2 linked regions of the Canis lupus familiaris genome follow. The main gene of each other region encodes a partner of the protein of the gene in region 2 in a complex. Links are inferred from orthologs where the notes say so. Each region holds a gene or a part of one and is shown on either strand. Other genes may lie near its edges.

The links.
Region 1: PRKG1 (region 2) and CNN1 share a complex: the UniProt entries of both Homo sapiens proteins name them as parts of the cGMP kinase signaling complex. The link is inferred for Canis lupus familiaris from reciprocal best matches to the Homo sapiens genes PRKG1 and CNN1.

What each region holds. Positions count from the first base shown.
Region 1 is NC_049241.1:50,230,944-50,235,198, forward strand, and holds the start of CNN1 (calponin-1), read right to left. Parts: upstream 2,801-4,255; 5' UTR 2,766-2,800; coding exon 2,643-2,765; intron 1,971-2,642; coding exon 1,849-1,970; intron 1-1,848. UniProt on the Homo sapiens protein: Thin filament-associated protein that is implicated in the regulation and modulation of smooth muscle contraction. It is capable of binding to actin, calmodulin and tropomyosin. The interaction of calponin with actin inhibits the actomyosin Mg-ATPase activity.
Region 2 is NC_049247.1:37,109,446-37,113,476, forward strand, and holds the start of PRKG1 (cGMP-dependent protein kinase 1), read right to left. Parts: upstream 2,801-4,031; 5' UTR 2,745-2,800; coding exon 2,434-2,744; intron 1-2,433. UniProt on the Homo sapiens protein: Serine/threonine protein kinase that acts as a key mediator of the nitric oxide (NO)/cGMP signaling pathway. GMP binding activates PRKG1, which phosphorylates serines and threonines on many cellular proteins.

The DNA of each region.
Region 1 (4,255 bases), on a different chromosome or scaffold from region 2:
TGCGGGAGTCTCTCCCTGGCAACTGCATCTCAGTCTCCTTGTCCCTTAGGGGCAACTGCACTGTGGAGAGCCCGCAGCTCAGGGCCCCAACTTCCCTCCCTGGCCTCACTCACCCCCTCGAGCTCCTCCAGTCTCTTGACTTTAAAATGCCACCCATATGCCAACAACTCCCCAGCATTTCCCCGCAGCCAGGCCTCTCACTCTCCATCCAATCCAGCTCCCTACCTGGCATCTCAAAGGCACCCCACCCCAGACTCCTGACACCCACTTTCGCCACCTCAATTCTTTCCATCCTCCCAGGCTCAGTAAACACATCCTGCTCACCCTCAGACTTGCTCTTGACTCTCCTATTCGGTTCTCCCATTCCTTGACACCCAACCCCTCAGCGGGTTCTTTGGCTCTGCCTTCTGAGGACATCCAGAAGCCCCTGGCTCCTTGCCACCTCCATGCTGCTCTGAGTTGTCTGAACCTCAATCCTGTGCTCTTGCAGGGGCCCCCTGTGGCTCCCAGGTTCCGCCTCGACCCCTGCAGACCCTCATAGCTACAATGGCCTTTTCCAAATAACTCCAGCTACTCCCCAGATCAAAAGTGCCCCCCGCCCCCGGTTTCCCTTCAGAATAAAGATCCTAAAACCTTTAACATGACTGAAAGGCCCTACAACTTCTGGCCCCCAGCTAACTCCCTCCACTTCCCCTAATCTCTCCTCGCTGTTCCTTGAACACACTAGGCTTGCTGCCACCTCAGGGCCTTTGCACTGCTGCTCTCCCTATACCCTACTCCCTGCCTGGCTCACTCCTTCCTCAGATGCCCTCCCAGCTCCCTCACTCACTTCATCCAAGATTCTGCTCAAATGTTATCTCTTCTGAAAGACCTCCTAGACCATTCTCTACGAAGCAGCAAACCTTTTCCCCACCCCAGCCCTCCATCCTTTCCCCCTTGACTCTTCCCATGGCACTTCCCTCCACAGGCAAGTATGGGGTTTTTTCATGGATTGATCAATCTCCCCCATGAGGACCCAAGCTCTATGTGAGCTCAGAGTTAAATCTGTTCTGTTCACTATCCCCAGTGCCTAGACCTGCACACAGCAGGTGCTCCATAAATTCTTGGTGCACAAATGAATAACTGAGTGGGTGGGTAATCCTGTCTGAGCTAGAAACATCACAATGTCTCCCTATTCCTTATTCCCAGTGGGTATGCTAGAATAAGATCCCCCCACTCTGCCCTTTCCAGCACCTAGATCTTGGTAAGGCTGCACCTTCGGGAAGCTTCCCAAAAGGCACTCTCTGGCCATCACGGTCACCCTGTCCTGGGTCAGACTCAGAGATGCAGACAGGACCCTACTGGGCTCAGGGTCCTGGATCCAGTATTAGTGTCGCTGTGGACTCTGGAACCAGGGCTCAGAGCTGTGTGGATTTTCATTCCTCCTGGTGATTTAAGTTCTGAGAAGAGTAGAAAACCAGGCCTACTTAAGTTACTGTGGCATAACTCTCATGTCACCAAGCCAGCAATGAACAGCCAATGTTGCCTTGTTGCCTTTTAGCTGTGACCTCTCTTTCTTGGAACTCTGGAGGCCATAAATGGGCCTGCCCTGTCTGCATGGTGATCAAGCCTAGATTCTGGTCATTTCTGTCAGAACAGCATGGGCCTCTGGGCGATATGTTTTACTTAACTGGGCCTCAGTTTTCTTTCCTGTTAAATGGGCACAATGTTGCTGTGCCAATGCTATTTCAAGGTCTCAGATATCAAGTGCCTAACCCAGCTCTGAGCTCATAGTCATTTGAAGGGTTGAGGGGGTAAAGATGAATGCCCAGGTTGGGGGCACCCCAAGGCAAAGTCTGCCCCACTCACTCGCAAAGAATGATGCCATCTTTGAGACCATCCATGAAGTTGTTCCCAATGCGGCGCCCAGTCACCCCCTCGATCCACTCTCGAAGCTCCTGCTCTCGCTGGTGGTCATACTTCTGGGCCAGCTGGGGATGGGGGACACAGAGAAGGTGGTAAGGATGGAGTGGGGAGCAGAGTTGGCTCCAGGGACCCAATCTGAGGTTCCCTAGGCCTGGTCTTCTCATCCCTTCCCAACTAAGGCAATTCTGCTCCAGCGTCCATGGGGGGGCTGAAGTGGGCAATGGGCCAGGACTGAGGTGGCACCTGCCCAGGGGGCCATTCCGGACATTCTGAGGTTTGGCACCAGAGAATGCAGACAAGGGGGGTGGAGAGCGGGGTACTTAGAGCTGGGAGGGGTGGTGCCTGGCCTCTTGGTTCCCCCTCCAGGCCAAACTTGGGGCTTAGCTTCCCCTGGTCCTGCCCCCCCACCCCCCTGCTGGAAGCCTGGGCGCCTCAGGCAGGGGAGGAGGAGCCCTAAGGACGTGGCTCTGAGTACTGCCTTGCAGGGGACTGTTCTGTCTTGCAGGTCTGTCTGCCTCAGTGTCTCTCCAGGTCCTGATCCTCTGGGCTGTGGCTCTGGCTGGAGGCTCCGGGGAGGAGGGGGAGGGGACAGGACAGAGGACAGGACACACTTGTCTTTGTCTTACTCCTGGCCCCATGCATGCTCGGTGGTATTTCTCTCTCTCTCTCCCCGCCCCCCCATCCCCGCACCCTCTGTCTCTGTCTCCCCAGCTCCAGCTGTCCTTCCTCGGCCTTGCCTTCCTGTCCCCATCTCCCTGTGTCTGGCTGGGGGGTGGGGCTCGGGGCTCCTCTGTCTCCTCTCTCTCGGCCTCTCCATCCCCTGTCTCGGTCTTATCTGGCTCCTGGCTCAGCCTCCCCATCCGTCCCTCTCAAGTCTCAGGCTCCCAGAAGCTCGGCGTCTCTCGCTCTCTTCCCCCTTCTCCATCCTGCCCCCCGCCCCCCCCCCCACCTCCCTTTCTCCAGAACCCTCCGCCCCAGCCCAGACAGGTTCCGAGACTGCGGGTGGAGGGGACGGAGCTGCCCCTTCCCCTGGGGGAGGAGGAGGAGGTAGGAGGGGGCGGCCCCTCACCTGGCCCCGGCCCTGCCGCCCCCCTCCCCACCAGCCCGGCTTTATAAAGCAAACCGGCCCTTATATAGCGCGGCCCCGCGGGCCGGGCTCCCCGAGGCCGCCTTATATGGCGCGGCGGCTTCGCGCGGCTCTGGGGCCGGCGCCGGGGGGAGGGGGGCGGCGCCGGGATCCCGCCCGGGCCCGAGCACCCGCCCCCCCAGCCCCCTCCTCCAGCCGCGAGGATCCCCCGACCCAGGATCCAATGCCAGCTCCCCCGCTTCCTCGCTGTACGCTGGGGAAAGCCACCCCCGGCCCTCGATGTTCCCCTCTGTCAAATGGGGCTGGGACTCCTGTCCTGGCAGCGCTCACGGAGCATTCCAGTGAGTTGAAGTTCACTGCCCCCGAGAAGCTGAACCCGACTCCGGGATGTGTGTGCCTTGGTGGCCGGGTGGCAGCGGAGGGCGATGCCAGGATCCTAGCTCTGCAACTCCCTTATGTCGAACCCTAGCTACTCGCCTCTCCTCTCTGAACCTCAGTTTAGCCATCCATAGCACAAGGGCGGTACCCGGATGTTTTCCCAGCTCAAAATTAGGAGACCCCTGCCAGGTCCCTAATGCTCAGTCTCTGACCTCCCGGCTGTCTCCCTCTCCCTTCAGGATCTCCTTCGCCATGTGGGCCTCACTTCCCCAGAACCCCAACTCTCAAGCACTCCCCGGTTTCTTTTTGAGATGGGGGTGTGTGTGAGGAAAATCGAGTCCTTTCCCAGCCCCCCAGGAACACAAAAGGAACAGGGGACGGGTTAACAGGAGACTCTGATCAAGTGGGGGTCTTTACAGGGGACAGATCACCTCAGTTTACCCGTGGTTGCCTGTGTGCCCTCCATTTTACCTGTCCCCCAACAGTAGCTGAGGGCTCTGGGATGCTCAGGATGGGGAATAAGGCAGTCCCGACCCTAGATTTGTCCTTTTTCCCTCTCTGATTCCAAGTCACACGGGATAGGCAAGAGGGGGTCCAGGGAACCCCAAGAGCAGGGCCTCTGGCCTGCCAGGGTGTGTGGGCCAGGCAGAGGCCCTATATTGTTCTTGACCTCAGCTGACAGCCCACAGACGGGAGCCTTACCTTGTTCTTGACCTCAGCGGACAACCCATAGGCGGGGCCCCGGTTGAAGTGAGCAGAGGACATGCTGGCTGGTGGTGGGCACGGGTGGCAGTAGTGCCGAGGACAAGGCAGCAGCTAGGCTCCGTCTGCAACCTCTTCCCTCCTCACACGTTTTTGAAGCTCCGGAGGCGGCCCGGGCCTCTT
Region 2 (4,031 bases):
AGTCTGTATAATCAGCTTATTCATAGTGAAATAAATGGAAATCTGGAGCAAGTCGTGTTCGGTTTGGCCGGTTTTCCTAATTCTTTGCGGAGCTATCTTGCACCATCATCAAATGGCATAAGGTATAAGCATTTTGCATACAATGTAACTTCTCTCTCAAGAAAGGTACACTCTACCACTTAAGCCAGTTTTATTCTAGTTTTCTTTATGTAAGTGTGAAAAAAGAACAGATGTTTTTCCAAAATTATTTAAGCTTGGAAGACAGTCTATCCTTTTCTTCACTATAATCCTTCAGAATCACCAAAACCACCATGGTGATACCTCAAACAGCTGATTTCTTTAAAGCACAAGCTATTGAATAAATATCAGAAGGCACAGCATTGTTCCATGATAAAATGTTTATTGTAACAGAATGGTGTGGATTATTTGCCACGCTAATTTCATTTCCCACCATTTTCCACCGTGGGCTTGCAGGAAAAAAAAAACAAAAAAACAAAACAACAACAAAAAAAACCTAGCAGTCCTACGTGTGAAGCACCGAGAGACGTCTACAACTTCACCACGTTTCTCGAGCTCATTCCCCACTGCCTAGAATCCTTCAGATCTCCTCTGATGCAACGTGTAACTGGAGTTATCGGCTGGCTTGATCATGCTTCATTATAAAACCTACTACAACGGTCTTTTTGTAAAAGTGCAGTTTTCTCCGGGTTACCCCAAAGTCCTGCAGGTACCAAAAATGAGATCCTAGGCAATGCTTAAAAAGGCAGAGAAGCTGGAGTTATTTTTTTCATTATGCAAAACTTGGCCCAGGAGAGACGGCCATGTACCTCGTTAGCTAAAACAGGCAAGCGTGTCGGGACTGCAAATTAATTTACTGGAGAAAGTTGGGAGGAGATGCGAATCCTTCAGGTTTCTGAGGCAGATCCGCGTCTACCCGGCAGGGCCACTTGCTGAGGTCAGAGTCCCCGAAACGTTCATCCTCCCTGTTTCTGCCCTGCACTCTGGGGAGGACACCAACTCCTTCTTAACCTAAACCTGCGTGAGGAACAGCAAAAGCTCTACGGGAACCTACGGAGGGAAGCCTAACTCTTTAAGTTCTCAAAAGTCTAATTCGCACGTGCTCGCTAGCCGCCCCCCAAATCCGGCAGCCAGAAATGGAGGTGATCACGTACTGATCCTTTCTCCTTACATTAATTTCTTGTGTTTACGAAGGGTTCCAAGGGAGCTGGCGTTATTATGTAACACGTGTCATCCAGCCAGGGTGATGCTATTAGGAAGGGAGTAGCAAAATCTTTCATTTTATCATTTGTCTCCTTATCTATTTGTTAGAAATACCCTTCCTTAGGGCGCTGTCCCTCCCCCTGTATCAATCCTATGTTTCTGCCACTTTACTCTCCATAAGGTCTCTGCATCGAGAGGCGTCTAACTAACAAGTTGGGGTTGCATTTTCCTACCCGAGTCCCGAAGCCCCCCGGCGTGGAGCACAGTTCCCTAAACGCAGGGACAGGGACGACAGCAGAGTGGTTGCATCAGAAGCCCGGAGTGAGGCAGACGATGTGTTCACGCTGTCCCTAAAGGTAAGTGTACTTCTCCTGCCCACCCGGAAACCCGCAACCCTCCGGGTAGCAGCCCCAAGCACCTGACACTCAGGGGCAACATCATGCAAATGCCTTAAGGAAAACAAGCCCCATTCTCCCTCGGATGGTATGAAAACAGTATTTAGAAAAAAAAAAAAAAGAAAGAAAAGAAAAAGAATCAACAGACTGGGCTTCCATTTGCGGGCTGTAAATGCCATCCAATTCAGAAATAAAATAAAATGAAATAAAATAAAATAAAATAATAAAAAATCACCCCCTCGACATGCGTATTTGCTTATTTCTGACACTTGGAGGATGCCAGCACCCCGGGGTTTGGAGGGTGGTGGGGGGGGGGGGGTCCGGGCGTGAAAAGGGAGAAATCCGGGAGAGCCACACGGAGAGGCACGGAAAGTAGGGGTGGCATCAGACGCATTGCATTTCCAGTCTGATGAGCCTGCATTTGGGATTTTCCGGCCGGGCAGGCTCGCCAGGGCACGGGGGAGCCGGGCTTTTTAGTCCCCGTTTCACACTCGCTGGCTCGCACGCTCACACTCACGCTCACACTCAGCGGCGCGCGCGCGCGGCCGGACACACACCTGGGGCGCGTGCGGGCCGGGTTCGGCCGCGCGGGCGCCTACGACCGACCGTGCAGGGCTGTGAAAAGAGAAGAGGAAAAAACGAAAGCAGCCCGCGGCCCGGCATCCGACAAAGACCGCGAGGCAGCGCAGGGGCGGCGAGCGCGGCTGCGGGAGGCGCGGCGCGCGGGGGGCGCCCCCAGGGCGCAGCAGCTCGCGCGGCGCCGGGCCCCGCGCCCCGGCCCCGCGCGCCCCCGCCCCCGCCCCCGCCCCCCGCTTACTGTGGGCTCTTGGGGTAGAAGGGCAGGGTCACGTGGCTGAGGTCCTGCAGGTCGAAGGCGGTGGGCTCGGCGGAGATCGCCTGGCGCTTGGTGCGCGGCTCTCCGTGCAGGGCGCCGGCGCTCTGCTTCTGCGCCTGCTGGGTGGCCGGCCGGATCACCGAGCGGTACTTGTCCAGCTCGTTCTGCAGCTTCTGGATCAGTTCGTCCTTCTGGTCCAACTCCAGCTCCAGCTCGTCGATGAGGGCATCGCGCTGCCTCAGCTCCTCGATCTTCTCCTGGAGCGCGTACTGCAGATCCCGCAGGGTGCCCATGCTCCGCCGCCGCCGCCGCCGCCGCCGCCGCGCGCCGGGGCCGCCTCCCCTCTCCGGGCAACTTTCCCCAAAGTCGCCGCCGCCTCCCGCCTCCCGCCTCCCGCCTCCCGCCTCCCGCCTCCCGAGTGCCGACGCTTCCCACTCGAGCCCGGAGCCAGCCCCGGCTTCTGAGCATGCCCAGTCCGCCGCTCCGGCGCCGACTTTCCGTGCGGAGCCCACTTGTCGCGGCCGCGGGAGGCGCGGGGCGCGGGGCGCGCGAGCCGGCGGGTCGGGGCCGGGGCCGGGGCCGGGCGGGGGCGGGCGGGGGCGCGGGGGGCACCGGGGGGCGCGGGGAGGGGCGAGGGCGCAGGGGGGCGGGGAGCGCGGGGGGGCGGGTCGGGGCCGGGACTGGGCGGGGGGGGGCACCAGGGGGCGGGGGCCACGGAGGGGCACGGGGAGGGGCGAGGGCGCAGGGGGGCGGGGAGCGCGGGGGGGCGGGTCGGGGTCGGGACCCGGCGGGGAGGCACCCGGGGCTGGGGGCGACGTGGGGGCGAGGGCGCGGGTGGGCGCAGGGGGGCGGGGGGCACGGAGGGGTCAGGACTGGGCGGGGGGCGGCACCAGGGGGCGGGGGCCACGGAGGGGCACGGGGAGGGCTGAGGGCGCGGGGGGCGGGGAGCGCGGGGGGCGGGGGCGCGGGTGGGCGCAGGGGGGCGGGGGGCACGGAGGGGCACAGGGAGGGGCGAGGGCGCAGGGGGGCGAGGAGCCTGGGGGGCGTGGGTCGCGACCGGGACCGGGCTGGGGGGGCACCGGGGAGGGGGGGCGCGGAGGGGGCACGGAGGGGCACGGGGGGGTTGGGTCGGGCCCGGGGCCGAGGGGGGGGCGCGGGGGTCACGGAGGGGGCGGGGAGCGCGAGCCGGCGTGTCGGGGCCGGGGCCGGGGCCGGGACGGAGCCGGGGTGAGCGGGGGCGCGGGGGGCGCGCGGGGGGCGCCTGGCGAGCGGAGCGGCGGGGCGGAGCGGGCGGGCGCGCCACTTCTGGGTGGGGAGGTGCGGGGGGCGCGCGGGAGGGCCGCCCCTCCCCCTCCCCCCTCCTCTCCCCCTCCCCTCCCCCCTCCGGGGCCTGGAGGCCGCGGGGTACGGGCCGGGCCGGGCCTGGGAGCTGCGGGGCCGCGCGGGCGGGTGGCTCAGGCCGCCCTCCGCGGGGAGCGCCTCGCACAGGTGGCCGCGCCGGGGAAGAAACTTGCCTCCCGCCGGAGCCCGGGAGCCGAGGGGGGTCCCCGACGCGCAGGTGCCTCGGGGGCGGGGCGGGG